Caenorhabditis elegans: one gene and its partners. The protein of the gene in region 1 purifies or fractionates together with the protein of each later gene. This does not show direct contact. Each region holds a gene or a part of one and is shown in the gene's direction. Other genes may lie near its edges. The genes, in order: rnst-2, B0222.5, C25E10.8 and F28H7.3.

Evidence for each region.
Region 2: the proteins of rnst-2 (region 1) and B0222.5 fractionate together in Caenorhabditis elegans (co-fractionation; one large-scale study listed by BioGRID). This does not show direct contact.
Region 3: the proteins of rnst-2 (region 1) and C25E10.8 fractionate together in Caenorhabditis elegans (co-fractionation; one large-scale study listed by BioGRID). This does not show direct contact.
Region 4: the proteins of rnst-2 (region 1) and F28H7.3 fractionate together in Caenorhabditis elegans (co-fractionation; one large-scale study listed by BioGRID). This does not show direct contact.

What each region holds. Positions count from the first base shown.
Region 1 is NC_003283.11:1,058,555-1,069,217, forward strand, and holds rnst-2 (Ribonuclease T2 protein rnst-2), read left to right. Parts: upstream 1-3,040; 5' UTR 3,041-3,042; coding exon 3,043-3,326; intron 3,327-3,382; coding exon 3,383-3,508; intron 3,509-4,033; coding exon of another isoform or gene 4,034-4,104; intron 4,105-4,148; coding exon of another isoform or gene 4,149-4,597; intron 4,598-5,549; coding exon of another isoform or gene 5,550-6,037; intron 6,038-6,556; coding exon 6,557-6,710; intron 6,711-6,758; coding exon 6,759-6,914; intron 6,915-7,127; exon of another isoform or gene 7,128-7,142; coding exon of another isoform or gene 7,143-7,337; intron 7,338-7,548; coding exon of another isoform or gene 7,549-7,731; intron 7,732-7,774; coding exon of another isoform or gene 7,775-7,919; intron 7,920-8,781; coding exon of another isoform or gene 8,782-8,890; intron 8,891-8,941; coding exon of another isoform or gene 8,942-8,987; exon of another isoform or gene 8,988-9,014; intron 9,015-9,182; coding exon 9,183-9,302; 3' UTR 9,303-9,354; downstream 9,355-10,663. Other genes in the region: str-67 (Seven TM Receptor), read right to left, coding at 4,034-4,104, 4,149-4,597, 5,550-6,037; K10C9.7 (Homeobox domain-containing protein), read right to left, coding at 7,143-7,337, 7,549-7,731, 7,775-7,919, 8,782-8,890, 8,942-8,987. UniProt on the Caenorhabditis elegans protein: Probable endoribonuclease involved in the autophagy-mediated degradation of ribosomal RNA and ribosomal proteins in lysosomes.
Region 2 is NC_003283.11:9,150,211-9,157,876, reverse strand, and holds B0222.5 (BPTI/Kunitz inhibitor domain-containing protein), read left to right. Parts: upstream 1-3,004; 5' UTR 3,005-3,007; coding exon 3,008-3,087; intron 3,088-3,327; coding exon 3,328-3,386; intron 3,387-3,430; coding exon 3,431-3,547; intron 3,548-3,605; coding exon 3,606-3,689; intron 3,690-3,731; coding exon 3,732-3,863; intron 3,864-3,908; coding exon 3,909-4,054; intron 4,055-4,103; coding exon 4,104-4,215; intron 4,216-4,437; coding exon 4,438-4,530; intron 4,531-4,817; coding exon 4,818-4,931; intron 4,932-4,974; coding exon 4,975-5,147; 3' UTR 5,148-5,556; downstream 5,557-7,666. Other genes in the region: B0222.15 (Activin_recp domain-containing protein), read left to right, coding at 1,141-1,228, 1,282-1,342, 1,401-1,461, 2,122-2,262.
Region 3 is NC_003283.11:9,051,646-9,057,628, reverse strand, and holds C25E10.8 (TIL domain-containing protein), read left to right. Parts: upstream 1-3,559; 5' UTR 3,560-3,696; coding exon 3,697-3,699; intron 3,700-3,748; coding exon 3,749-3,800; intron 3,801-3,863; coding exon 3,864-3,934; intron 3,935-3,979; coding exon 3,980-4,267; 3' UTR 4,268-4,367; downstream 4,368-5,983. Other genes in the region: C25E10.10 (TIL domain-containing protein), read left to right, coding at 1,311-1,313, 1,366-1,423, 1,469-1,541, 1,584-1,660, 1,710-1,795, 1,841-1,937, 2,038-2,153; Serine protease inhibitor swm-1, read left to right, coding at 2,797-2,799, 2,847-2,895, 2,956-3,026, 3,077-3,361.
Region 4 is NC_003283.11:10,747,982-10,754,554, reverse strand, and holds F28H7.3 (Fungal lipase-type domain-containing protein), read left to right. Parts: upstream 1-3,766; 5' UTR 3,767-3,853; coding exon 3,854-3,920; intron 3,921-3,970; coding exon 3,971-4,377; intron 4,378-4,476; coding exon 4,477-4,887; 3' UTR 4,888-4,950; downstream 4,951-6,573. Other genes in the region: irld-6 (Receptor L-domain domain-containing protein), read left to right, coding at 1-59; gtnt-24 (Glycosyltransferase family 92 protein), read left to right, coding at 408-655, 708-898, 948-1,048, 1,252-1,404, 1,595-1,798, 1,851-2,044, 3,342-3,498; F28H7.2 (DeHydrogenases, Short chain), read right to left, coding at 5,617-5,832, 5,878-6,051, 6,102-6,529.

The sequences.
Region 1 (10,663 bases):
TTTTTTTCTGGAAATGCTCACTCTGTTACTACAAGCCATCTATAGACAAAATGGACTGCAAATACGGCCATCGAAGCTCCAAAGCATCTCCAGTAGCAAGAGCTCAGGAAAAGAAGAACCTCGGGGCTGAAGAGCTTATCCTTGATTCCGACAATCACCAAAAATGTGGATCCGTGGGAGTAATGTTGCTATAAAAACTACCTATAAGGCAGTAGAGGAGTATGGAATCGCTTACCGGAACCAAAACCACATCCAAAATTGAATAGAAGATTTCAAAAACTGAGATGTATATCATGAGACACTTGTAAGCTCCCAACTGTTTTGGAGATTTTGTCAAAATCACGAAAATCAATAATGTATTTATGATGAGAGAAAATCCTGCTGACACATCTTGTATGAGTTTCAGAAGATCACTCCATTGTTTGCCAAGCATTTTCTGAAAGGTAAAAGTGTAAAGATTAGAGATTCTAATAATATCAGTGGGTATGTTTTCTCGAACTTGAAACTCAATGGGGAAGTAGAGTTTCTCTCAAAATATTCCAAAAAGACTGCATTTCATAGTGTGCATTTCAATAATAAAAAATTTTCTTCATCTAAAAATAATTTTTATTTCACTTGGATAAACTGAAAAAATTCTCAAAAATTGTGCGAAAGTTGAAAGTTGCCGGATTTTTTCCCCGCTAATTTATCTGATTTTTTGAGGTGCTGCAGTCATTTCTAGTGAACCAAAAAATGCAAAAGCTCCAAAACATATGAAAAACTGAAAATACTTTCTTTTGCCCAGCTTTTATAAACCACTATTAATTAAAAAATACAATGCTGTCAATATGTCTGTGACAAAAAACTATACATCCGGCATAAACCATAAACGTGAAAACAAGGCTTATTGCTAGCTCATCACCAAAATTGAAAACTATCGTAGGCGACTACTGTAAACGAACATTTTCGATTTTGTATATGGCCAGAAAATCGAAAAATCAAAAAAAAAGTTTACAATTAGATAATTTATGAAAAAAATCCGAAAAGCGAACTGTTTTGATTTTTCAAACCTTTGTAAATCAAAGTGGCCTGAACATTTTACTCTAGTTCTAATTTTCTGAAATGCTGCTACTTTGTATTTGTTGACAATTTTAAATTACCTCGTTTAAATATCAGTCGTTTCATTACAGCAACAAGTTTTAAAAAACTTGTAAAAATGTTTGATTTTGTGCTTTTTGTGATTACACTTTGGGGGGTATCATATTAACTTAACGTCGTAATAATTTTTGTTTTTATGTTAAGATTTACAAAGTAAGCTGACATGCCTTATGCCTAAATATCTACGTTTTTTTTAAATAACGAAGCAGACATGCTTTTTTCTATATCTCTAAAAATTACTTTTGCGCCAAATTAAAAATGTAATTATGCACGGTTGAACTTATCTAAAAACTGTATTTCCTCTATTAGACTTGCACCCTTACGAGTCAATCAAAAATTAGTCTTGCATGCAAAAGTAATAGAGGCAATACGGTTGTTTAATGTTGTACAATTATCTTAAATAACTACCTAATTCAAATTATTTCATTTAAAGTTTTGATAAGTTAGGGGGTTTCAAGTAACTTCAATCACTTCTGCAGAGGAAAATGTTTGAAAACAATAATTTAAAACAAGTTCAAAATTTGAAAATATCAGTGTTTATTTCCTGCTTTTTAATGATGGGTGAAAAGTGGCTCAGGTTTTTTGACGGAAAATTTCACATCAACTTTTGAAATTTCTACATTACATTTGATCATTTTAGTTTGATATTAGCCGCTATTCTTGGTGGCCGAACTTTTTCGCAATTTCTAGGCCACGCTGAGTCGCTATCAAACTTTCTGTTTTCAGGTCACACTATCTCTGTTTGTTATCATTTATTGTTTTTTCTTTACCTACTTTCTTGATAAGATATATGTATCATTCTTTTTTGCGTTTCTTCTGCGAGGTCAAATATGTTCTGTTTTCCTAATAAATTAGTTTTCAAACCAAAAACCATCCTATGTAGTTGCACTTAATTAAAAATTATCTGGTCTTAAATCTGAATGGTCTCAACAATAAATCATGTGGCAGCTGTTAGCACCTGTCACTTGACACTCCTTTGTCCAGTAGACTGCTCACTTCCCAGCATTCCAGTACGTACATTATTGCGTTCTGTTTCTTGGTCAGATTTATTTTCAGTCGATAATATAATCCGTATTGTCCTTTTTCTGCTGTTTTCAAATAATTTTTTGGATTTTTTAACTTATTCCAATACTTACTTTTTAACATCTTATTAAAATGAAATTTTAGAAACCAAATTTACCAAATTTTTCCTGTAATTTTGAAAATCTAACCGAAAAATTCCAAAAAGTTTTATTGATGTTTTTTTAGATTATTGAAAGTTTTGTTTTTTGCAATTTGGCAATCTTTTGATTTCCATAAATCAAAAAAATACAATTTTTTAAAAATTTAAATAAAATATTTTTTGTAGGCAAAAATATTCAGAAATGTATATTTTCAATACTTTTTCTCGTTTTTTTGTGTTATTTTTTGTAAAACTTCCTTATATTTATCGCAAACCAAGAGCATTTATAGGATGAGTTGGATTTTCCAAAATAAAACTTGAAGTTTTAAAATTTTGAAAAAAATTGAAAGAAAACGATTTAAAAAATTTTTCAATGAAAGTTACAATTAACTCTCAAAGTAATTTTGCAATTTGAAGATAAAATTAAAAATCTCAATTTTGTTAAATTTGAAATCAGGTGAAAATTTGGAGTCAAAAATTAAAAATTAGTTACAGAATTTATTAGCATTTTAAAACATTCTAAATTTTTCCAATTTAACTGTATATATTGAAATTGTAGTAGACTTTGTGGAATTTTTGTCAAATTTTGTTAAATAGTTTTCAAAATAATTTGCCCAAAAGGCGGAAAAATTGAAACAAAAAGTGAACCTGTGTACCTAAAAATATCATTTGATTTTTTTCTGCTTCTGATAATATGCTTAATCTATTTTTTTACTTCTAATAATCACGCAAGATTTCCAGAAATGAAACTTCTCCTTCTTCTCTGCATATCCTGTATACCCCTAGCCTATTCTCATGATGGTGAGCCATTTGACTACCTAATGTTCACCACAATCTACCCAACCGCCGTCTGCCGTGCCGATGATGATTCAGTCCCTGAATCCTGTGAGATTCCAAGTGGTACCCCTCAATGGTCAATTCACGGATTGTGGCCAAACTTTGAGAATGGCTCGTACCCACAAAATTGTCGTGGGACTCCAAGACATTTCGATGAGAATTTGATAAAATCAATTGAAGATCGATTGGTGTAAGTTACAAAAATTTGGAATAAACTTTGAATATCACAACATTTTAAATTTTCAGAGTTGTCTGGCCAAACCTCTACCCTAAAAAGACGATTCAATCCTTCTGGAAACACGAGTATGATAAGCACGGGACATGTGCTCAAAGTGAGAAGCTCTTCGAGTCAGAGTTGGCTTACTTCACAGAGTAAGTTGTTTCTAATTAAACGATGATTTTGAGTTTTACTTGTAGATACATCTACTGAATTTAAACTCTTTCAAAACTTTGAAAACCAAAAAAGAAGACCTAGTTTTGGCATTTTTGCGCTCTCCAGCTATATTAATTGGGATTTCTTTCTTTTTTTTATTTTATAATTTGAAACATGATTTTTTTGAGGCAGTTCCCATAAAATTATTTCTGCTTATCAAGTTTTCTTTACTGTTAAAGAATTGTGTGAAAAATTGGCTATTTTTTAAGTAGTAAAAACTAGGCTACTCATTCGCGCGGAAATTCAAAAAAAATTCAGCTCTTTTTATGTTTTGTTTTTTTTCTTGCAAAATTAAACAAAATCATAACAAATAACATAACAAATAACAATATTCGGTAAATATATAAAGCATATAAAGAAAAAAACTGTATTCATTCGAATATTAAAAAAATAATGATTTTATGTTAATTTCAATAAGTTTGATGAAATAATTATTTGTGAAGTTGATGAGATGGTTCAATTGTCTATACAGTTGAAACCGCAACTGCTGAACTGGGCACTGCTGTGTTATTCTTCATCCGGCAACATATAACTTCTGTAATAAAAACAATTATATTAGATCAATCATTATGCCATAACTTTTCAAAAAAATTTTGTATTCCGAAACAATCATCATAAAAGCGATACTATCAAATGATGGGTAGAATCCAACAAGTGAGTACAAGTTACCAGTTTGCCAATTGACTTCAAGTTCGAAAATTGGTGCAATCAATGGGGTCATCAATATCGGCCCAGTTGGTATTATTAAGAAAATAGTTGGTCCAATAGTTTGCATAACGAGAGCAAGGAAAAATTGATATTCAAGTTTTTGATTTTGAGTTGAGAATTTCTTCAGCTCTTTTTTCATATTTCGATGCATTTGAACACATGTAAATATAATAATGCAATATGAAAAACTGATGAGAACAATTGCGAAGAGTAAGAAAATTATACCCTTCGCTCGAATTGAGCCATCAGCTGCATATGGTACCATTGCATATCGTGGCAGTTCGGATACTTCCAGTGCGTAGTTTTCAAAAATGGCTTTTCTGTAATGAATAATTTGAGATAAAATTAAAATGAGAAACTTTGGTTTAAAATTACATTTATGTAAAGAGATATAGCGACCGACATTTTGCGAGTCGAACAATTTCTAAAAATGATTATTGAATTTTGGTAAACCCTTTTTTTTCAGTTAAATGATAAACGAAATGTAATTACAGCAACAAAAAAAAACTCAAAAATGATACCACGTTTTTAAACAATTGGGCAAAGCAGTGTTTGAAAAGTGCTAGTTCAAACCTTTACTGTTAGCTCTAGTTTACTGTATTTTTGAAAAAGAAAACGTTTCTAGAAAAATGCTTTAAAGTGGACTCACAAAATGTCGGCCGCTATATCTCTTGACCTTCATGTTAAGAAATATCTTAACATACCGTATTTTGTCTTGCATGCAAGACTAATTTTTGATTGACCCGTAGGGGTGCAAGACTAATAGAGACTGCAAGACTAATTTTCGAAGATCCAATAGCTTTATGAAATTGGCCATTTATCGTCAAAATTTGACTCGAAATAGTCTAAATCATGCAAAATACATACTTTTCTATTGTTTTATCAATTATTTTAACACTTTAAAATTTAATTTAGCTATAAAATGGCGATATTGTTGAAGTTTTCAAAAAATACTGCTGGTCTGGCAAGAATAGGGATGGAAGACTATCACCGTAAGTTCTCTATTAGTCTTGCATGCAATACTAATAGAGGCTGCAAGACTAATAAAGGAAATACGGTAGTTTATTCAGTAGACAACATTTCGAGCAAAAATTTTTTAGTTGAAGTTTTCTTTATGAAGTTCCTAGTTTTTGAGCTATACTCAATTACAATATACATTTTCAACCAGCAAAAAAACCGAAAACATATATATACTTTCGCTTACCCGTGTAAAACAAATGACGAATATTAAATTAACATCTAGATTTGCCAGTAGCTCCTTAATTTGCTCACCTTATATAAGAATCTGTGAACTCATCAGAACCACACAAATAGTGTAGGGACAATGCGAAAATTGTTCCTACTACCAAGGGATATAAAATCCAGATGATAGTTTTAAGACCGTCAAAATATTTGGTTTTCTGTTCATTGAATACGCACAGATATCTGTACACAAACTGCACAGATATGAATGAAATTACAATTAGGTAGAATTGGGACCAAATTAATATGAAAATCTGCCGAATTTTGAGTGGAATATTTAGTTCGCATAAGTTGAAGGACAACAGCGCACCGTTATAGTTATGAGTAAACGGTTTCATGATCATTTCTAGTCCCGAGAAACTTGTGCTCAAAACTGAGATATATATGATCATTTTCTTATAAGCTCCAAAAAGCTTTTTCGCGTGAAAGACAGTAATCCAGATTAATACAAAGTTAGTACTGAAACTGGCATAAAACCCAACTTTTCTGCAAATTTCAGAAAAATCGTACAATCTCATTCTTACTTTTTCGAAGACTTAACGAGAGAATTAGAGTGTTCGGCCCGGGAAATATTTTTTGTATGTAATGAAGAAATGAAGTCTACGATTTATATTGTATGAAGCACCGGAAATTAAATATATTATACAAACACCAACCACAGTCTGTATCACTGAATTCTTTTTTTAAAAAAAATTTCACAATATTATTCACAAGTGGCGAATGATAAAAACACATGATGGTTTTCAAAGAATGTACCAATAAATCTTAATACAATTTCTGTCTGATTGGGAAACTATTTGTCGGTGAATTTTACTATCGAGCTTTGTAAACAGAACATGCACACAAATTCAAAATTCCAAAAAATAGTTCATTCATTTGCGCGGGAATGCAAAAATAATCATCTCCTTAAAAAAAATTTCGTAGAGTTGAAAAATCATTGAAAAATTAGAATTAAAAAAAATATATAAATCAGTCTTGGTAAGCATGAAATTTCTATAGTGAACTAATCAATAACAAGAAATACATAATTTTTTCAGGGTAATGAAAGTCTTCGACTCTATCGATGTGGCTGGAGGATTGAAATCAGTTGGACCATCGGAAAAACCAATCACCTCGAGCGACTTGAAAAACGCGTTGAGCGGAGTCACCAGCGGAAAAACTTTCCAATTCCATTGCCTCCGGGATAAGAAGGTACGCTTTTAAGCCTCAAAATTGTCATGCTAAAAAATTAAATTTCAGACCAAACAGTTCCTTCTCGGTGACATTCGCTTGTGTCTCAACAAGGACTTGACAATCCGAGACTGTCCGACTGATGGAAAACATCCGAATCGAGTCAGCAGATTCGAGAGATCAATTGGCAGAAATAGACGCGGGCCACCACTTCCAAGCTTCCAGGTTGGTTACGATTTAAAATTTTGTTTGACCTTTTCCAAAATTCCGAATCCTTCATTTTTTGTTGGAATTTTGCAATTTAATAAATTGCCGATTCAAGATTTTTCGGCAATTGACAGTTTTCAAAACTCTCAGACCAAATTTTTCTCGAGATACTTTCGGATTTTTTATTCGAATTTTTCCACTGTCAAAACAAAAAATTCGGAACTTTTACATGGTGCCTAGAAATATTTATTGAACACAAGTATGCAGCGGAGTTCCCAAATCCGAATCATCATAGTATGGGGTAGATGTCTCATTGTAGAGAGTTGTGACAGATTGAGATTGGGTAGTATTCGAGTAGGCCGGATCATATGACATTTTGGAGAAGTTGTCCTCGGTACCAAGCTTCAACGACGACTTTTTCATGTCGGACCACTGGGGGACCTGCAAAATTGCATGTTGAACTAGGCAGTTGTCGGCTGCTGGAATTATGCATTCGCATACTTTGAAACGTTCCTTCTGTGGTAGGCTGGCCGGCCTGAAACCCACCTGCTTCTCGCCTTTTTTCTGCATTTTATGAAAATCTTTAGCAGAAGGCGAGGCAGGCAGGCATCTCGTCGCCTGCGTCCCTAGTAAAAAATAGAATTGAACTCACCGGTGTCAATTTCCCAACTCTCGGAGCAGTCAAATCGTTGAATTCGCTTCCGTGTGGAGACCAATCCGAGCCGGAAGTGATCGGCCAAGAGAACGAACTGATTATATTGAGCTGGGGACGGGACACCGGATCAGTTTTAGCCTTCGAAGATGGATCCTGCGGAGATGCGATTGCATAGATTTCCTGAAATTGTCAATTAGAGCGCTGTTGCATAGTCGGAACTTACCGGGTTGTTAGCAATGAAATTGAGAGTTTCACGTGCTTTGGCACGCTGCCCCGGAGTCACTTTATTGGGGAAAGTGGTCTCGAGAAGCTTTCGTTTTTCCTCGAATGTCATTTCTTTTGTCGGAACTTTGACCTCCTTCTCTTTTCTGAAAGAAAGTTTTTAACATTTTTGAACTTTCCAGCAATCTGTGCTAAGTGGGTTTACGGTAGTCATTGCATAGGAAGTGCGATTTTTAAATGGAATTCTGGATGTTTCAGAAAATTCCAGAAAATTCACGGGGTTCTGGCCTTCTTCACTGAATTTTTCGCGCTCCATTGACAAGGCCGGACAGCGCGTGGGAAAGTCGTGTACTCCACCCGGACAAATACACTTAGTTTGCAACTGAAATCGAGTCGCGACGCGACACGCAACGCGTCGTAAATCTACCCTAGATATGGCCGAGCCAAAATGGCCTAGTTTGGCAAACTCTTAAATTTCAATTTATGAGGGAAGCCAGAAATCCGTGAATATTTCAGAATTTTAAATGAAGTTTCCAGAAAGTTCCAGAATTTTCTCAAGTTTCCCACGTTTCTAGAACTTATTCCAAATTGCTATTTACGCGGGCTTCTGGCTTTCCTCAAATTTTTAAATGTAAGAGTTCGCCGAATTAGACCATTATCGCTCTGCCACATCTGGGGTCGATTTACAATGCGTTGCGTGCCGCGTTGCGTGTCGCGTGTCGCCTTGCGTTTCGTGGCTCGGTTTTCATTGTAAATCTATAGGTATTTGTCCGTGTGGCGTACACGACTTTCCCACACTTTGTCCGGCAGGCAATTTTTTGTCAATAGAGCGCGAAAAATGCATTGAGGAAGGCCAGAAGCTCGTGGTTTCTCGAAAAAGGTTAACCAAAAAGCTTCAAGAATGGAATTATAGGAATTCTCTAGAAACTTGTATTTCCCTTTTTCAGTCATGCAAATGCACAGAGCCAGACAACCGTAACCGTCAGAACTCCAAAAATGGAAACTCACGGCTTTGGTTTTCCAACCGTTGCTCCGTAGACTCCAAAAATCTCGCCAAACATTTTCGAGTGCTTCTGCATTTCCTTCAAACGTTGCACTTCTTCAGATGATTTTCCCGCTGAAAAAAATTAAATTTAAAATAAAATCCAAAAATTTCAAAGTTTCTTACCGGAAAGTTTGCGAAGCTCATCGATAGTATTTTGAATCGACTTCATTTTTCTTTCGTTGAGAAGAGTAGTTTTGCAAATTTGAAATAAATTTTTTTCCGATAATTTTGTGAGTCGTGGAAAACGTTCAAATATTTTTTTGCGATTTTGAGGGTGATTTTCAAGTCCACGTTTTTTCATTTATTTTTTTGATAAAAAGTACAAAACTTTTTTATAAATTAACAAAAATTCACAAATTTTCAGCCATGCCCCGCCGAGTTCATCTACCTTCCGGAGATGAGCAGCATTTCTAAATCCTCTGATTCCACATCGCCATCTATTTTCGGACGAATCTGGAGCGCTATCAAAAATATTGGAAATTAAAATATTTCGGATTTTGTATAATTTTTGCTGATTTCAATAAAAAAAAGGACCCAACTTTTGCATATGTTTTTTGATGTCCGCCTGACTGATGCCTGCCTGATGCCTGTTCACTGCTCGATTCCTCACCTACCTCATGCCTACCTGACTGAATATTTACCTTGTGCCTGCCTAGTAGGTGTCATATGCCTACCCCTGTCAAGTCTATTTTCTTAAGTGTCTACCTCACGCTTGCCAACACATTTTAGCTATGCCTGCCTACGTGCCTATCTTATGCCTACCTCTTGCCTACCTATACGCATTGCAAAATTTAGATAAACACAAACCTCAAAATCCCTTCCTGATGCTGGTCACAAGTGAGGATTAGCTTTTGATAGTTTGTTTTTTTTATGTTTGAAAAAAAAGTTTCACCCCAACTTAAATTTGCAGTTTCCAAAAAAATTTCTCCAAATTTTGATTTTTTTTAAGGTGACGAGAGCTTTTTTTAGCACTTCAAAAATCAAAATAAATCCGGATAACTCGCGCTGGCTTAGAAACAGTGAAAATTCGGTGGTCAGCTCAGAATTTGTTGAGCCGGTGAAGTTTGTACCTGGCACTTTTTTTTTGAAAAATTTGAAGGTGCAATGTTTGGTGTTTTTCAGAATTAGTAGAATTTTTAAAGCTTTTGATTGAAACTTGTTCACAGATTTGAAATTAAAATTTTTTAAAATTTAGGCTTCAAAATTTTCAATTAAAACAATTTTCAAAACTTGGAAAACCTTTAAACATTTTGTTCCCCAAATTGCCACGTCACGTAGAAAGGTATGAGGTAGCTTTGCAGGAAGGCAATTAATTTTGCATGTACGAGTAGTCTTGTAGGTATGCACGAGGTAGGCAGATAGGTTGGCTTGTAGGCAAAAGCAGGCAGGCAGGCAGGCAGGCAGGCAAAAGGTAGACATGATATAGGCACAAAGGCAGGCACAGCTAGTTGGCGGCAATGAGGCATGTCAGTAGGCACGATAAAACTTTGTAGGTAGACAAGTACGGGTTGGCACATAGAAAAATGCCCCAATTTTTTTAATGGCTAAAATAATATTTCTTAAAACTAACTCGAGGTTTTCCTTAAGCTTGTCAAAAACTTCCTTTTTAAACATGCAGACTTTCTTGTTCATAGATCATCCGAATTTTCAATTTATTCCCCTTTTTTCCCTTTTTAACGACTGTTAAACGAGCCAAAACCTCCTCCAAATAACTCTTCTAAAACCGTGAAAAATATTGTAAAAACGAGTTTCAAGAATCCCCAAACTTGTCTCCTTTGGGAACATTTCCGTGTTTTTCATCGAGTTTTTTATGATCCAGCTAATGGAAGTTTTGTTTTGAGTTGA
Region 2 (7,666 bases), 8.1 Mb from region 1:
AAGCAATGTTTTGCATTTCAGTATACACTAGAACTTCAATTGAATTGTTGAAAACTTAATTTAGAAAAATTGAATCAATCAAGATATGCAACATTTCAAAGGTTCATTCATCCTTCTCACAGAAAACTTTTCTCATTTTTCCCCAGCACATATTCTTCTTCTTTGAACCAAGCAAGTTCTATCCAATTAGAGGAATCATTTGCATATTGCTCAAGAGAACCTGGAATATGAGACGCAGACTGAAAAGAAAAAGGCGGAGAACGGAAGGCACTTCATAGTGTTTTGGCACCACGTTTAAGAGCCTCGGAGCTTCACCCACAGGAGCCATTGGAAAATATCAAAACAAAACATCTTTAACCCCTGGGTGCTTCACTCATTTTTTGGTTGCAATTTCTAACCTCTTTTTTTTCTCTTTTTACAAAACCGGGAGGCTCGTTTTTTAATCCATTATTCACATTGTTTTCAGTTCAATGAATTCATCACAGAGTACAATCCAGAAAGAAAAAGAGAAAAAAGAAGACGAGGAGGTGTTGGAATTCTTTTTTTTTCTATTTCTGGGTTTTTTGTTTCGAGTTTGAAACTGCAAATATTTTGAACAAGTTTTAAACCTATTTTTCTGCATCTATTCGTTTCAACTTTAATTTTTTACAAACATTTGCTCATAACTCCTTCATATCCGACTATCATACATTTGATTAAGAGTTTCTAAGAAAAGAAAAAAATTAAGAAAAAAAAAAAGTAAAAACTAGTATCCTAGGAAACTTTGACAGCATGTCAATATTATAGGCGGACAAAATTCTCAAAATGAATTCTATATGTGATATTGCAAGGGGTTTTGAAAATTCAAATTAGAAACATTTATAAAGTGAAGAGACCTGAATAAAGCAGGTTTTCAAATTACAAAATATCCGCATCATAAAAACCATACAGTTCAAACAAATTGCCAACAACTAACCAAAACTTGAACCAATTCCTTCACACTAATGGAATTAGTGTTTGTTCTTATTTTGTTTGATCTAAAACTATATTTACTTATTCCTTTTAAATTCAACTCTTCATCTCAAACTCTGTGGAAATGACACTCCTAAAAAGTTAAATTTCAGTTGAACTCCGTATTAAACCAAGTGAACGGAAACAATTATGAGCGTGCACCCTGTCATTATCTGTCTTTTCATTTTCTTTTTCATTTTGCCGCCTTCTGCAGATACTACTGTGAAGTGTTTTAAAGGTACGTTGAATGAGCAGAAGAGCATTTCGTGTGCGTGACGAGTGATTCTTTAGGGTTCTCGGGAGATGGAAGGCCGTTCAAACAACGTCTTTGTCAGACAGAATATTGCATAAAGTGGGTTGAAAGAAGAAAAAGAAAAGGCAGCAAGTTTATTGGAATTTTCATTTTGCAGAACGACAGAGCCAACTGGCGGAGCTACTTACGGATGTGATGACTTTACGCCGTTTTGCAAAGTGAGCGAACAAAACGAGTTTGAAATTGAAAGAACAAATGTGCAAAGTGAAAATCAGAAAAAAAATTGTCGAAAAGATTGAATGTGGCGCAGCCCTGGTGTAGATTTTCTGGAAATTAATTATAAAAACCATACTCATTGAAAGAGCAATGTCAACTTTAACAGAAAACAAATACTAGAAGCGGACAAAACCCATATGTAGCGGACAAAGCCCAATGCTACATACTGTAACTATGGAAAAATAACGGAATACACTTTCGCTTGTAGAAAATGAGTGGGGTCAATGCCGGTTTTATCTAAATGTATGTATTGTCAATTTGCCAAAAAATGACCAACAGTGAATAAAAATCACAATAAGGATTATTTAAACTTAAATTTAAAAACAGCGTATTTTTCTATCGTCTGACACTTAACAATGGTTCCGGTCTTTGAAAAAAATATTAGAAAAATACATTCCTATATGTTATACTTGAAGCTCGATTCCCGTATTGTTTCTCAAAAGTATAATTTATGATTCTTAGTGATAGAAATTCATTCTAGAACGTTTTGTTGTTTTCTTATTCTAAAAACTCGTGAGTAACGTTTTCTTCCAGTGATTTCCATAGAAACTTCTAGACTTTTCTATTCTTTTAATCTTTTCTCAATGTTTTCTTTTTTTCAGAAAGACGAATGCGTGGTCACTTCGAAACAAAGTAAAGTCTGTTGCTGTAATACTGATCTGTGTAACTCTTCTCCAATCACTTTCTGGCCTGTGTCTCTACTATTCTTCATTTTATTTTCTTATTTTATGTCTAGTTATTAGTTTGAACTTTATTTATTTAAAAAAATATTCCGACAAAAACGGGTTATTTTCTGATGATTCACTTCTTTTCCCGAATAAATGTTTTTTCAACTAAAGGTAATTCTGTTAGTCAAACCAAATTTATTGGTGTAAAAACGAATCCAAAGAGAATAAGAGAATGTACCAGTTTTATCGATTGATCATTGCATTCTAGTAGTTGACATAATATGATAAAAAGGAAGTAAACCTTTTTTTTCGTTTTTCGTCGAACAAAGATTCGTTCAGCAATTGATTCCTTTTCTTGTTCTCAACTAGCACTGATACTGCTTAGTTTTTTCTTTTGAAAAAAGATACTGTTTCAATTTTTAATCTTTCTTGATTTTTTGAATCTTCGGAGAGAAGAAAGAATATAACTTGGCTTTCATATCCTAAGAAAATTATTTTTTTCTCGAATTTTTCCTTTATTTGAAATATTTTTGTTAATGTTTCCAAATATTTGTGAACACTTTTTGATTCACCTATTTCATATGCACAGAATTTATGTACATAAAAATAACTTACATAAAATTTCATCGGCGAGTGATGAAAATAACCAAAAGCCAGTAATTCCCAAATACAATAGATCACTCAATGATCAACTCATAGCTCTTACTATTTTTTGTTCTCGAAAATCAAATAATGTTTGTTTCACTAACTAGTTATTATTTACCTTCATTCATTTCCTCGTTTCAATCATTCCTTCGAACGCAATTTTTTGATTTCCGGCATGCGAGCTTTCTGCATAATATTACTTGTTGGATTCACCCAAGTCAATGCTCTGTTTGGAGACAGATTATTACGAGCCAGGTTAGTTCTTTGGAACAAAAATTGTTAGGCACAATTTATGAAAAACCAATTTTGAAATAATTAGAACCCTAGTAAGTGAAAATATTTTTCAACAGTTCGGTGTCCACTATTAAAAAAATAACAGTTTTGTTTAAGAATTTTATATTAATAAAGTGTTGAAGCAACTGGTGGAAATTTTAATTTTTCAACATTACTTTGCTTATTTCAAATTTATTATAAAAATGTAATATTTTATTACAGAAACCCAAAAACTGGACCATGCACGTTGAATGATGATGGACTAAAATGCAATGAAAATGGTGATTCTAAACTTTAAATTATATTAATTTATTCATAATTTTAGGATACTATGAAACTGTACAATGTAACTCTGAATCATGTTATTGTGTTACTCCTCACACTGCACTTGTTGCATACGACACACGAACCAACAATCCGAAAACCGCGCCAAAATGTGGAAGTAAGTAGAGACCATTCAATTTCCTAAGTTTTCCCAAAAGTGACGTTTATCGTTTCAGCTTGCCTTGTTTACCTCCAAAAGCTGTTTGCCGACGGAGATCCTCCAGAAAATAGTTTCGTACCAAAATGTGACGTCGGAAAAGGTATGAAAAAATAATGCTAAAGATAAAATATAAGTATTTAAGGTGATTTTGAGCCTGTACAATGTGACAGTAAGAAGAACCAATGCTACTGCGTGGACACAAATACTGGAAGAGAAATACAAGGGACACGAAAACCATTGAGTAACACAACAAAGATGAATTGCATGCAAATTGGTAGTTCAAAATCATGAATAATTTAAAATAATTCGATAATTTCAGATTTCTCCATCGATTCGTCAGCATTCCCCGCTTTTGAAAAACCAGATCCTGCCAAACCGAAAAATGATCAACCGATTGGAAAACCATGGTGTGCAAGTAACAGAAATGCTGGACATACATGCAATCAAAATAAAACTTCGATAAGAGTAAGTTGATTTTAAACCTAATAAAAAATCGGGCAAATATTTTTTTTAGTACTGGTTTGACGTTGAAACCTTCCAATGTTTCCCATTCGAACACAAAGGCTGTGGTGGAAATCAGAACTCCTATAGAACAAGTAGTGAATGCTATTTTGACTGTGTCTTGCGTAAGTTATCCACGTATTGTTTTCATGAATATAAGTGACGTTCACCAAGGAAAATGATCACAAGTAGGCCTATGGTACCAAAAATTGTAAAATGTTTCATACATTTTTGACCCAAAAGTTTGAAAACTCTGAGCCCCTCATTGACGTATTCAATTTTTAACTCAAAAATTCAATTTTTAACTCAAAAATCAAATACGATAATTGAATGCAGTTTTATTTCAGAAGACTACTTCAGTTGTGCAATGCAATCACAACCAGCTAGAAAGTCGAATGGACAATGGTATTCTTGCCCAGAAGGCCCAGATGGTCCACCAGGTATGTTTTGAGATTGATGGTTTTTTAATAAAACTTTCGAACTTTCTACTGCATAAATAATATTTGAAAATTAGCTACAAATTTTTGTGGTGAAAAACGAAACTTACAATTCCGGTTTATAAAATGTTATTTTTTATTTCATTTAAAGGATCCTGTTTTTCGGATCTGAGCTGTTTAAACGTTAGAAATACAATGTTTTAAAAACGAGTATTAGTTAGTTTAAAACTTTATTAAAGTAATAATGAACATTAAAAAAACTAACTGAAATATTGCTTCATATTTTTCAGGCTTCAAGACTACTACAACTCCAGGCCCAAAACTAACCTCTGATGGTTGTCCAAAGGGATATATTTGTTCTATGGGAGCATTCTTTGGTATTTGCTGCGAGGAGAACTTGACAAGTAAGTAATCATATTAGCGACAACCAAAACACAAAGTTTCCAGATCGCTACCAAGCAGCATTCAAACCATTATGCAAAAACAAGAAAGAAGCTTTGCAAACGAAACAGGACGATTGGTCGAGTGCAATGCTCGGAAAATCATGTTCCGATAGATTCTGTCCAAGCAGTCATACTTGTGAACATAACGAGTTTTTTGCATATTGTTGTCCGCGTTAATATGTGTGTTTTGACGTTTGTTTTCTTGCCCATTCGAACCGCCCTTCAATTCACATTCTAATTCAGGTTGTAATAAATAAGAAAAAGTATTTGTAGTTCTTTTGTTTTTCACAATGATATGTAATGTATATTAAACGACCTTTCATCTCTTCTGTCCTTTTCTTCTGTGTTGGTTTTCCACCCAGACAAATTGCCGGCCCCCTACTTTAAACGTGTCTTCTCATAGCATTGATTATTGATGCCTATGTGATATCAATATCTTTTATATTCATTTTCCCTCCTAAAAGAAATATGTTCAGAAAACTGCACCGAAACAAAGTCTTCGACCATACTAGATACTTGTTGATTTCTGATAGTGTCCTGTTCACCCCATAAAAATGTGTTAAATGCAGCAAGCAACAAAGTATATTTGTGATTGAAATTTGATGCGAATAGAATTTAAAAATAGAGTGATCACAGTTCTAGCAGAAAACGAATTTTCACAAATGAATCGGAATGATGACTTGGTCTATTTGAATTCGCTCAATGTCTCCGCAGACATGATGTGTACCCAAAAATGACTTGATTGATGATTTCACAAATGTTCCAGTTTAGTTTCGTGCTTTATGTGGAATATGCTACAAAACGCTAAAATACGATAATCGAAGGCTTCAAAACTAAACTGCGGTGGACTTTTCTAGCTCGAAATATGCAACTGAAACAGTTGTTGGGCTATTCTTTGCTCAAGAAAAAATTATTACGGCACAACAACTGTAATTTTTTTTTCTAGAAAAAAATTCATTTGAAAAATGGACGCTGATGAAAAAGTTATTAAATGAGCCGCGTAACTACATTGAAAAAATGTTAAACGTATTTTCAGAAATTGTTTTGTTAAATTGTAGAAAGAAGAATAATCAAAAATAAAACTCATAGTCAGGTAACTTTTTTTTGAATATTTTAAAGCAGAAAACGAAGGATCTCGTTTAAACTTATCAAGATTGTTTTTTGATGTCTTAGTTCAGTGTAGTTCTCTAAATAAAACAAGAAATATAGGTTTATCCGTATGTTTGCAGAAAATTAGTTCAACAGATCAAATGTTCATATTAACGTGACTTTTAAAAACATGAAAGACGGATCAGTTCAAAGTACGTTTCCGAAGTGAACACATGGAGATATTCAAAGTACATGCTGATCAAAAGAGCTTGAAATTAAAATTCGAAAATGTTCAATTGCCCTATATGCAAATTGAGAAAAACGTGCAAGTGGGGATCTTGTTAAAGATTTTGTTGTCTTAAACTTCCAGTCAAAATTTTGGCGGATTGCCAAATTTTTAAACAATACAATCTTTTAAGAAAATAAAAAGCAATGTCACATGTTCCACTCCTAGAATTTTTTACACGAATAAAAACAAAATTATAAAATTCGTAAATCGTAGAAATAATTTCTTTTGGTCTATTTCCAAAATTATTAATGAAAAAAATTGGTAATTGTCACTTTTTGACAGTAACTAAAAATTTTCCAACAATAATTTTGAAGGTAATTTTGAAACCATAGCAGTAGTTTCATATACTTTCCTCACTTGTGCTGCTCCTCCTTTAAAATGATACAGTCTACAAATCGAAGAGACTTCGAAAAATCGATAAAAGTTCGAGCAAAAACTATTAAAAACATTTCGATTTGAACCATAATTTAAAAAAAAATCCAGAACAAGATATAAACTATCAAAATTGAGAAATGAAGTGCAGAATAGAGATTACGGCGTTTTTAATAGGCCCGATGTTCAACGATTAAGACTTGGTGTATAGCTTATATATTAACATGCAGTACTAAGTTTCAATCGGTAAATTTGCTTTATTGTGTGATAGGATCGTATATTTTTCTATTTTCAAAAGCTTAAAACTAAATTTTTAATTTTAATAAGTTGGTAGTAAATCGTGAGCAAAAAAAAAGAAAAAAGAAAATTGGTCCCAGTCTACAAACGTTGCTGAAAAATTAGAAAAAAAAGTTTGAGTAGTTTAATACTGTGTTTTGGTGTTTGAAACATTTTCCCCGTTTTAAAACAATAAAACGGTATTCGGCCATTGAATGAAACACATCCACAGAAAACAATGATGATTGGTTGGGAGGATGAGACAATTTTACCGTAGGCAGGAATTATCAACAATTATATGTTAAAATCAATATTCTGGAATAAATTTCGCATAAAGTGTAAACGGAATGATTATAACTGCATTTATAATAATATTAGTTCATGAAGAATATTCAGTTGTCAAAAAAATCACCGATGAACACAAATTAGTACTGTTATACCATTTCTATGAATTTTCAGATTCTTTCAGATGCTTGCTAATAATGAAGCTTTCAAAGTAAGAATCTATTATTAAGCAAATTAAAATTTATTCACGGAGAAACAAACATTACTTAGACCAGAAGACCCGAGTATTATAGGCATGGTAAAAACAGTAAAGTTGCCGCACAAATATAACCGATAAGTGAATTGTTCTTTGAAGAATTCAATCTGGCAGGTGATAAATTTCAGA
Region 3 (5,983 bases), 8.0 Mb from region 1:
CGTAGTCACGCAATGCATTTTCCCATGTTTTCCTTTTTGATTGTTTTCATTCACTTCAGTTTATAGAAATGAAGTTACTTTTTCTGTTCTGTTATTTTATATTTCTGGCTAAATATTCACATTCACAACTACCAGATGCATGTGACTTTGTAACATGTTACGGTCAATCCATATGTATTCCTGTGCCTATTCCATGTATTAACAAGCCATGTCCTGTTGGCCCCGCTTGCAAGATTTTTGCATGTCCAGAAGGAAGCAATCCAAGAGATCATTCAAATTGTATTTTGCTAAAAAAATCGACACTGTGATGGAATTTTGTGAATTTCATACAGTGTAATAAATCAATTTTCAAATGTCAGAATAACCAAACGATTTCTAACAAACAATGCCAAAGTTTTTATATATAAGCTTGAGGGAATTGTCAAGAAGTTTGTAGACTTGCCAAAACTTGTACTTGAATAATCAAAAAGTTATTATCTGAAAGCTTCTTTTAAAAAATTTTCGACGGAGCAAACTGTTTTGAGAGCAAACTAACCACATAAACGTGTTTAAAATTATCAATTTTCAATAGGAGACTTCTCATAAATGAATTAGATTTAGGGGTATTGGAATTATTGGAACTGGAAAGTACCGTGTTTTATCTATTAGAATCACACCTATTGTTCGACTTTGGCAGCTGATCAGCGTATCTCAATTGTCGTTTGTTCTAAACAAAGATTGTTAGCTGACAAAATATTTATTGTTTGTTTCTTTTACTATTTTTTTCACAATTTGGAAACAACGTTAAAAATTTTTGAACGGCTGTACACAGTTTTTGAGTATTTTTGCGAGTTATTTTTATGAAGTTTCTGGCTTTTGGAGCTATTTTGAATATATTCAAAGCCCATCCCAGCAGTTAATCTTCTGTTCCAACAGTCTTGAGTTTTTGCTTGTATATAATAAAAATACTCAAATGGGCAACTTTCATAATAAGACTTCTCAAAAAAATTGCATAATTTTTGAGATTTCTCATTACCAAAATTTTGCCTAGGGCGCATTTTGAGTCTATTCAAGCAAAAACCGAAAACAGTTACTTCTTTGTTCTTCTCAGGCGTACTTTCGTAGAAAGTAATTTTGTAAATAACATATTTTTAAACTTAAAAAAACAGCACTCAAGAAATATTCCGGTCGGCTGAACTCTCTCCGGTCTCACCAAGTCATTAATCTTTTGACTCATCCTCGGTCTCACGCCTGTCAATTTTATTTCAATGATTGCTTCCTTCTCATAACTTCCCCACTCCGAAAGTTTCTTCAGAAATTCTTTCATCAAAATGGTGAGTGGTTTTTTCTTCATATCTTACAACAAATGAAAGTGTGTTTTTTCAGAATTTTCAATTATTTATTTTCTTTGCTCTTCTTGCTTTTGCTAGATCTGGAGTTCTTAGTGAGTACCAAGGTTTTATTTAAAAATCAAATGACTTATTTTCAGAAAACACAGAAAACATGCCCATTTCTCACACAGACGCACTCTGTGGTTCTATCAAATGTCCTGATAATTATAGGTTTTAATATTTCCAATTATAAATTTTAAAATATTTTTTCAGATGCGAACTGCCAGTCAGTGACTTGGAATGTGGTTCTGAAGACGATTGTTCAGTTGATCCAAAGTGCGTGCCAATCCGTAAGTGTAGTGAAACCAAAAATATCCAGTGGTTCTTGGAAACTTCCAGCAATCCGCAAACCGGAATGTGAGGGCGATGAAGAGCTCAAGGCGTGTGGCTCAGCGTGTGAACCGACATGTGATAACGAGAATCCAGTAAATCAACGTTGAGATTATGTATGATCATAAATTGTTTCTCAGGAATGTGATTTGGTGTGTATGACAAACGTCTGCCAGTGTAAGAAAGGACTCGTCAGAGACTCGGCAACTGGAAAATGTGTGGAGAAAAATAAATGCAGTAAGCTTCAAAATTTATTACTAGACTTTAACCAATTTAACCATCAGTGATTATTCGCTGAAAACCTGCACATAATACTAGTCATAAATTTTTCATTCAGGCAAATGCACTCTTGAATGCTCTGAGAACGAAAAATGTGAACTTGTGGAGCTGACTTGTGAGGAGAAACCATGCCAAATTGTGGACGTATGTGTTGCACAACATACCACTGAATAATATTTTCGATGATTAAAAAAAAAGTTGTTTTTCTCATATTTTAATATTGATGTTTTCATGCTAATGTTTTCAGAAAATTTAAAAATAACAATATTCGAATTTTAACATAATATTTGTATTCCTTTTCAATAGCCAAAAAACTTATGAACTATTCCGTGTTGCAATACAATGAATACAAAAAGTCAGTGTTAACCAAACAATGTTAAGTTGGTAATTATGGATGAAACACATTCGAAATACTCTCCAGTGAGCCAAGCCAAAACTATTTGCACCAAGCGATACGTTTTAAATTGATATCTTCTAGTGAATTGATTCATTAAAATCATTGGTCGGAATGAAATTTCGTAAGGTTCTCGATTTAATGTGTTTCTGATTTTTTCTGAATTTTCGAATACAAATTCTTCGAGATTTTTAAACCTTTGTTGTGAGCCCAATTTACAAAATAAATACGTGACCGGTGAAAGATAAATTTCTCTCCAAAAGATTGAGAAGACCTATAATATCTCCCATTCGATCTTATCATGTTTCTCGTATCATCCCTTCCGAAAAAAAGGGCGGTTCTGCCGTTTTTTAGTGTTCCGGCACAATAAATAGAGCCGTTAAAAAGCAAAACATCGGTTGGTTGCCCTTCGTTATTGTGAAAATGGTGAGTTTTTGAGTTTTTTTTCTAATATAAAAATTATACACTTACAGAGGATACTTGTCATAATCACATGCATCGTTGCTGTTGCTACCGCCACAAGTAAGTAAATATATGTGATTTGGTACTTGAACGGTTACCAGATCATAAATATTTTTTTAGAAACATGTGAAGCCAATGAGGAGCTGGTATCGTGCCATAATACATGTGAACCACAATGTGGATATACCCCTGTAACAATTAACTTAATGTGTCTCCCATTACTGAAAGTTTCAAAATTTAGAAAGCTTGCACGGAGCAATGTATCATGAACACATGTGACTGTAAAGACGGATTTGTTCGTAATTCTCTTGGAAAATGCGTCGAAGTATCTGAATGCACCAAGGAAACTACAAAATGCCCAGAAAATGAGACATTCTTTGGCTGTGGAACAGCTTGTGAAGCAACTTGTGAGAAACCAAATCCAACAGTTTGCACTAAACAATGTATCGTCAATGTCTGCCAATGCTCCAAAGGTTTCGTTCGTCATGGACTCAGATGCATTGATAAGAAAGATTGTCCAAAATAATTTGTTTTTGAGTAAACATTTCCAAGTTCAATAAACCATCAAATATTGGAAAAAATTCAAAAAGAAGTGTGATGAAGGAAACTGGAGTTGTGTGCTATTATTGATAACACAATTGTTACATCAGTATTATTTTTCCTGGCATGAAAAACTAAAAAAAACTCTGTTTGATCTTTTGGATTTATTGGTCATCGTTTTTTTTCAATGTCTATGTCTCTGGCAAACAAAAGGGCGGTTTTGATAGACTAGAGTCCTCTGCGTGATTTAGTGTTCTCGAACAATAAATAGAGTCATTTCAAAAGAAAACATCAGACTGCTGCATTACTTTTCTTTCTGTGATGGTTCGTTCTTTTTTTCATTAGAGCAATGCAAAAACTAATGAGTTTTTAGAGAACTTTTGTCATAATTGCCTGTTTTATTGCTGCTGCGACAGCTGCCAATAGTAAGTTTATTTTTAAATGATTATTGTTAAATATTTCTGGAAAATAAACATTTTACTTTTCAGAGACATGTGGAGCCAACGAGGAAATGGTTGCATGCCATGATCACTGTGAGACACAATGCGGATACACTCCAGTAATCTATAATTTTCCATGTTCTCCTATAATATTTAATTTTCAGAAAGTGTGTCTATCTGCTCAATGTATTGAAAACGCATGCGACTGCAAGAAAGGATTTGTGCGTAATTCACTTGGAAAATGTGTCGATATTTCCACCTGTACCAAGGAAACTAGCAAATGTCCGGAAAATGAGACATTCTTCCGATGCGGAACCGCTTGTGAGCCAACTTGTGAAAAACCAGGACCAAGACCATGTACCAGACAATGCATTGTAAATGTTTGCCAGTGTTCCAGTGGTTTTGTCCGAAACGGTTACAGATGCACCGAACTCAAGGAGTGCCCAAAGTGAACATTTTGTATTCACATTTGTGATAATAAATCGTTGAATTTCATATTCTGAGAAAAACCAACAAATTGCCAAATAGAATAACATTCGGTTACCATGAACTGGAAAAATGGAAACGAATTTATATTTCTTTTTTGGAACAAAACACAAACAATGCCGTGATCGTGATATCATTCCGATGGAAAACTGTGTCCGATCGGAGTACACAAAGTTTTCGTTTTTGGGTACAGATTACCTCACTAGAGTATTGAATTTCATTTGGTCTTATAGGTTCGATGCTACACACAAAACTTTTTTTAGGATTGGCAATTGTTGTTTCATAAACATTCCAAAAGCGACAAAAACAGACAGTTTAAATGTTGGCATCATATATTTTTTTGGAAAAAAAATTCGTTAAAAAATGCGTTAAAAAATTTAACCGTGTGGCAGAGCTGAGCTCATCCCCTACTTGGTTTCTTAATATAGGAACATACACACAAAAAACAAATAAGAAACTTAAGCAAGGAAATTATTCAAAAAAAGATCAATCATTCTTTTGTAATGTCTAGGTTAGAAAATGTCGTAGACGCTTAAAACTTTTTAATTCAAAAATCACGATTCTTTTACAGCAGCGTTTTTTCCAGGCACATTCTGGAAAATGAAAGACTACGCTATTTTACGTGAGCATTTGCAATTGTTTTCTACCTCGTAAACATAAAAATAATCACATTCATAAATACCAATAGGTACGCGTCAGAAAGGTTCTGCCAATTTCTGCACAATATCATTTGTCCCAGAAAAAATTTGGCAAAAGTTATAGGAAATTAATTTTTCCCTTTACTTTATATTTTTGAAACTTTTGACTTTCGACGCCTTTGTTAGTTTTTCTATTTAAACACATGACGTTTTCATGCCGTCATAGTATTTCGCTCATTATTTATAAACACGTTAATTATTGAAATACACATCTGACAATGCTCGAGTCTACAATTTTGAACCTCCGAGTTTGTATTTTGTATCAAATGCATATACTAAGAAATAAGTATGACAAAACATAGTGCGTAACTGAATGTCTCAATATTATAGTTCACTACAATATTACTTCAAAAATGAAACGAATTCAAATATAATATATACGTTTAGGTCTATACTATTTGAAATGCCAAAAAAACGTTTAACTTGACCTTTTCAATGACGCTTCAAATTTCACACCTACCGATGCGCAAAAGGAAATAGATTTTCGATGATGCAAAAAAGTGAGAGGCTCAAATTTTTTTTCGAGACCGCCGTCATTTTTGAATTGAACTATGAAGTTAAATAACTGCGTCTGTTTAAGCCCGTTAACAAAATGTATATTTTTTGTTTCGGGACTTTTGAGTTATACCTTTCTGCCAAAAAAATCGAATCAAAACTTTGATTTTAAGAATGCACTTACTTCGAAGTTAGAAAATTTCATGAGCAGATTTATTCGATATTCTGCGTTACCAAAAAAGTATTACGTACTTTCCATAATTATACATAAAATTTACGTCAATAAGCTTTTTGCACATCTAAATTATTGAGACCCGTTTTGTCTTCCGAACTTGTATCACTTTTCACTGAATTCCGGTACGATTTTACTAAATTACTTTTCAAGGAATCCATTTTATGCTGACATTTAGCAGATCATATATGATTTTTGAACGCAATTCACCTGTCTAGTTTCTAGGTATTTTTTAAACTAAAGTTTTCCCGTTTGAC
Region 4 (6,573 bases), 9.7 Mb from region 1:
CGATGAGAATTAATAGAAAACCGAAACAAAAGCATGGAAAGAAGAAGAAAGAGGATTGAATATTACTTTTTAAATTAACGCTTAAATGTTTTTACTTGACTATAAAATGTGTTCACATTTCTTAAATAAATTTTTGATGTATTATCAAAATTGTCTGATATTTTTTCCTAGTTCCATTAAGTCTTGTGAGAAAATAATGCAAATTGCAAAAGCAATTACAAATTTTTAAAAGTAATTTTTATCAAATACATTAATAAAATCATAGACAGGATCGCACAAGAGGGACGCTGGCGGATAGCCGTCACCTGTTCTAACAAATAATGTGACAAATAGGAGAGCACATTGCCTTGAACAAATATCAATTTATACATTTCAAATATTGTCTGTATCATTTTGATTTCTGAAAAATGAAAATGAATTGTGATATTCAGTCGAAGCTTTATATTTTCTTCATTCTTTTATTTTTTGTCATTTTATCAGTGCTTTATTCAATTGAAGTGTTCAACTATGATTTCGTTTCTAGTAATTTTGGTATTTCTTCAATTTATTTAACTCATATTCAAAAATATAAAGATGCCTACCCACCAATGTTGATTGGAGCATATGAATCTGAAACCCAAATATCAGTGTCTGTTGCTGCATTAAAACCTATTGGGTAATAATTAATTATTGCATATAATTATTTAGCAAACGATACTCAATTACAGTTATACAGTGTACTGCCGATATTTCGACAAAAACGGAAAAGAACATGAAAAGCCAATGAAAAGCTTTATTTATCCGTTATTTGTTGTGATTTGTGATCGAAAATCTTCAGAAACTCATAAAGTTGCAATAACAGATGGACCAAATGGAGTAGTGCTGGAACAATTTCAGATGATTGTTACTCGATGGAATGGTTTGAAATATTTCATCAATACAAAATGTGTAATTCGATTATTTTTCAGCAAGTTACAAAAGAATGTTGACTCATTGTTCGGCTCCTTTATTTGGACAAGAACCGAAATGGATGCATCTGGTAGAAATGATCGAGCATTATAAATTACAGGTTTGCTTAAAATTTTGCATAGATAGCTTAGTTTATTTATATTAAGTTTTTACGTTAAAGTTTTTAAAACAACCATTTTACCTGCTATTAAAGAGGCATTCATTTACCTCGTACATGTACCGAGTCGATTTTTTTTCAAAACTGATTATGTTTATTTCAGGCATAAAATTTTTGTCTCGCTTTGTCAAATTTTTACTTTTCAGGGTGTCACCAAGTTTTACTTTTACATCCGAGAAATCGAATTGTATGATATGTCAGTTCTTCAACACTATATGGCATTTCGAGATGAAGTTGAAATTATTCATATTCCTTCAATCTACTTTGATGCAGTCTCTCAACAGTATCTAGCAATTGCGGTAAGCAACTACCGTATTTTTCTATAAGATCAGTTCAACTGTTTAAATATAAACAAATTATTCAACATACCAATTTTACACTTTTTTTGAACTCCAAAGCCAACCAAGATGTTGTAAACTCAAAATAATGCTAGTGTGATTAATGGGGGAAATACAGTCCTAAAATTCAAGAAAATTCAGATATTTTCAGGACTGTCACTTGCGAAACCAATTATCAGCCAATTGGACAATCTTTTCCGACATTGACGAGAGAATCATTTTGACTGATAGCAAGACAACTATTCGAAATTTTTTACAAGATTCAGTCAGTGAGAAGTATGGAGGAGTTATGTTCCCACAGCGTTGGATATTCAAATATGAAAAGCTGCCTGAAAAGTTTATTAATCCAGTACAGGTATTGAAAGAGTACAGATTTTTGTAAATGAAATCGCTCATTCTGTTTTCAGATAATGCAAGAAATGCCGTCAAGGAAATGGGAACTTACAACTCAACCATGGCTCAACTGTACAGATGGAAAACATTGCTTCTCAAAAATGATAGTGAATAATCAAAAAGTATTACAAATGATGATTCATGACGTCGGAGAGTATAATGGGAATTATCAGACTTTGATTCTTGATCCGAAAATTGGATATATAAGGTATTAAAACAAATTTTTTCAATATTTTCATTAATACTAACTTAGTTTAGAATAAGTTTAGAATAAATTTGAAAATTAGCTTAATTTTGGATTTTGCAACGCCGTAAAAAAGTTTTAAAATTATTCTGAGAAGTTTCATTACGAAATTCGTTTATTCGAGCACATTTTAAATCTATAAATTTAAAATAGTACGTTAGTGCTCCTTTAAGAGAACGGTTAGGAACATTGAATTTGATTTGATTTATTTAACATAACTAATGCAATTTACAACTGTACAATTGAATTTTGAGTGTTAAATAAAACGGTAAAACGAGACTAACCCAGAAAGAGTACGTCTCGAGTTTGGGACGGGAAAGGAGAGAGAGGGTAATGTGGTAGAAGAGATCAATTAGAAGTCAAAGAGAACCAGCGGAGAAAAGTTAATACCGGGGAATATTGAGATCGAGAAAGTTTGAAAACTGATAGGGGGAGAGAAATACCGGTATATTTTTGACAAGATTGTTCCAAATAGGAATGGATTTGGCAAAGAAATGAGAGGTGCATGTGTCTTTCCTAACCAGAATCATGGGTCTCCTATTGGAATTAGAGAACTTGACAAACTGAGTTAATTTAGAGAAATGAGTAGAACCGGTAAGAAGTCTATATAATAGTTTCATTTGAGCTTTAATTCTTGTGTGTCTGGTGGAGAATAGTTCCATGATGCACAGTCTGTTTTCGTAAGAGGTGAATTTAACGTTGCACCTTTGCAGGACGCGTTTGGTGAAGGTCCTAAGCGGTTTTTCAAGTATGGCAGAGAGTGAGGAGTTGGGGGAAGGGGAGTAGATCTCAGAGCAATAGTTTATGATGGGGGCAACGTATGTTTTAAATAAGTGGCTATAAAACTTATGGGAGTTAGAGGAGAACGCTTTGAGAATTTGCTTAGCCCTTAGCATGGCTAGGCAGCTAATTTTTATAATATGAGGTTCAAAGTTTAATTTAAAATCCGTGATAAGACCTAAATCGCGGACTGTGGAGGATGGAAGAATGGGGACATTATCCACTCTATAGGTGTGGTTGGAGTTACGGGAACATTCCCTTTTGATAAGTACTAATAATAAAATGTAGTTTCTGAATAAAAAGGTTTTATTCAGAACCTATGTGTTGAAGTACAAGACGTTTTCATAGTTTTGGTTGAGGTCTGAACAAATTAACTAAAAAGAGAAAATGAGCAATTCGTAAATCTATGTAGGCTGTGCGAACACCAAATACTAACACTTATAAACTACATATGTTGAGCCATCACAGTGTTTTATTTCAGGCACTATCGAGATGTAAATATGGGAAAATGGTGGGTGAGAAATAAGGACGTACTTGAAAAACTGAAGCCATACGAAAATACCACGTACAATTTACGTCTCCGAGACCAACTTCTAACAAATGTTCTTCAAATTCTTTATGCAGTTCATCGACCGTAAGAAGAATAAAAAGGGTTGAAATTCATCACTATCACTTTGATCTCAATTGTTTTATGTCCATATAAACTTTAACTATGCAAACAAAATGTGTCGTCATTAAAAATTCTTATTTCAAAAAATTTTAAGATCAATTTGGTAACGGAACTCACAACCGCTTAAACTTTCCATCACACGTTCGTGATCTCTCCAACGAAATGTGTGCAGCATGCCGGTTTTCCTTTCCGTCTGATAAGAGAAAAGAGCTGTCTCTAAACCTCCTAATCATTCTTCACATAATACTTCCTTATCACGGCAAGTACAAAAACTCGTCCCACTTATCTGACATTGTCAGTTTGTCTTCTTCATTCTCCCCGAAATGCTGAAACTCTTCACGCTTCTCTGCGTGGTTTACACCGCCTATGGTCTTGTCCTCCCAGCTTCTAGTAAGTTCCGAATAATTTGGCACTGACTCTCTCACATCATACATTTTCAGTGCTAGCCAGTTACACAGATGCATTTGCCAGAACTCAAATGCTTGCTCTTGCTTCAGCTGCATATTCCTCTAATCCACAACATTGCCTTGACTCTAAATTCACAAACGCTAAGCTTCAACGTCAAATTTATGTGAAGAACTGTGCTTTAGTGAGCAACGATGTGTGCTCTGGATACACTGCTGTTCTTCATAACGATAAGGCAATTGTAATAAGTTTCCGTGGAACTCAAGGATTTTTCCAATTGATTTCTGAGGCTAACAAGAGTGTCTTTGAATCACAAATGTCTTGGATCGCCGGAGGAAAAGTATCTAAATATTTTGGAGATGCTTTCACAAAAGTTTGGGCTGCTGGAATGAAGGATGACTTTGCAACTCTTCTGGCCGCAAACCCTGGATATGAAGTTTGGGTGAGTTGATGACTTTGATAAGAATATTTGCTCTTTTTGTTACGTCAATAAAAATGGAAATCAAATAGTTATTAAATTATATGATTAAAAAATGTTCAGGTGTCTGGACACTCTCTCGGAGGATCACTCGCTTCGCTCGCAGCATCTTACGTCATCGGAACAAAAATGGTTGATGGATCCCGTGTGAAACTTGTCACCTACGGAGAACCACGTACCGGAAACAAGGATTATGCTCATGCTCACGATAATCAACTTGCATTCTCTTATCGTGTCACACATAACCGTGATGTTGTTCCACACGTTCCAAATGAGGACTTTATGGGATATTACCACAACAAGTATGAGGTCTATTACCGTGAGAATATGAAGAGCGGTGCAAAATTTACTATCTGCAACGGTGATGAAGATAACGGATGCTCTGATGGGCTCTGGATCACTACATCAATCGATGATCATCTTCATTACTTTGAGAAGGATATCAGTGCATGGGGAGATAAGGGATGTAACTAAATTAGTAAATTTTGTATTTTTTTGAATTTTTCTGTATGTCATAATAAATATGAGCTCCTAATCTGAATTTTTTTGCTTTCACTTGTATTGCTCCAGTTTTCTCACAGTGTTGTTCACAGAAATTATCACGTCTTTTGGCGCCGACTCCAAACCTGTCATTGAATTTGTCAAACGGGCTCCAGGCCCACGATTTGCTTTTTTTCAAAGATTTTTTTAAAACTAGAATTTCAGTCAAATTTTGAACGGTGATTATCAATTTTTTGTGTTTATATTATTTTTTAAACATAAATGAGTCAATTTGTAAAGTTTAAAAAATTGGGATGTTTGATTTTGATGAAAAATTTTTTTTTTGAAATTTGGAGTAAATTTTTATTGGCAAAAACCATAAAACTAATTCAGTGATCAGAAAGAAGAGTAGGTCCTGTATACTATGTATAATTTGTTGTCGTTGATGCAAGCCACTGAAACAAAAATTGAAACAGAATCCGAGCCTTGTGCAAGTTTGATCAAAGTTTTTGAAACAGTTTACCCAAAACCTTCTGTTTTTTTTAGTTTGGATGACATTGTCAAGAGTTAGGGTAATTTAGATGCAGTCCCAGCATTTTCTTGTCCAGTGGTTTGTATTCTGCCTGCAGATTTTAAACAGGCTAATTAAATAACGATGTTCTTTTTCAGAAACTCAAAAAATTAACATTTAAACTTTTAATATATTGCAATTAGTTGAACAAGTCAAAGTTCTTTGAAAACAGCTTGCATCATTTTAGCCCCGTGAGCATGAGCTCCGAGAATGAGTGAAGTTCCTCCGTCGGCAACAATTGTTTGACCAATAATATAATTGGAAGCGTTTCGATCGGCAAGGAAGGCAATCACTTTTGCAATATCTTCTGGTACTGCACAAAATCCACGTGGAATGCATTCCCGTTGAGCACCGAGATAATCGTAGAACTGAAATGATATTAGATTTTACATTATTTTAGAAGAAATAATTACAGCTTTTGATTTTTCCTCTGTCAGACCTCTCGAAACAGCTGAAAATCCAGTAGATACAGCTCCAGGGCTCACGGAGTTAACTCGAATCCCTTCAGGAACAAGATCGATAGCAGCTGTACGAGTATATTGATCTAATGCAGCTTTTGCAATTGAGTAATATGGAGATGCTACTTGCTGAAATCAGTTACAGTTATATTTAAGTTAAACGTATACAACAAACTCACAGCAGCTGGTCCAGCTCCAATGCTAGAAATATTTACGATTTCTCCTTGAGTTTTTGCGAGATGTGGGCGTGCTTTTTGTGTCATTTCAATTACACTTTGCACGTTTAATTCAAATGTTTTATGATATGTGTCAATTGATTGATTCACTCCACTTTTGCCTTGAGCATCTGGAATTCCAGCTCCAGCATTATTAACCAAAATATCGATTTTTCCAAATTTATCCAAAGTTGACTTGATCAGGTTTTCTTGAACACTTTCTTGGGTGATATCTCCGACAACCACAAGAACATTTCCTTCTGGAACACCAGCACCCAATAAAATATTCTTCGTCTCTTCAAGTCTCTCAGCATTTCTTCCAGTTACAGTAACCTTTGCTCCTTCGGAAGCAAGAAGACGAGCTGTTGCCTGACCAATTCCATTGGATGAACCTTAAACTTTTCATTTGATTAAATATTGAAAAATGTTGAACTTA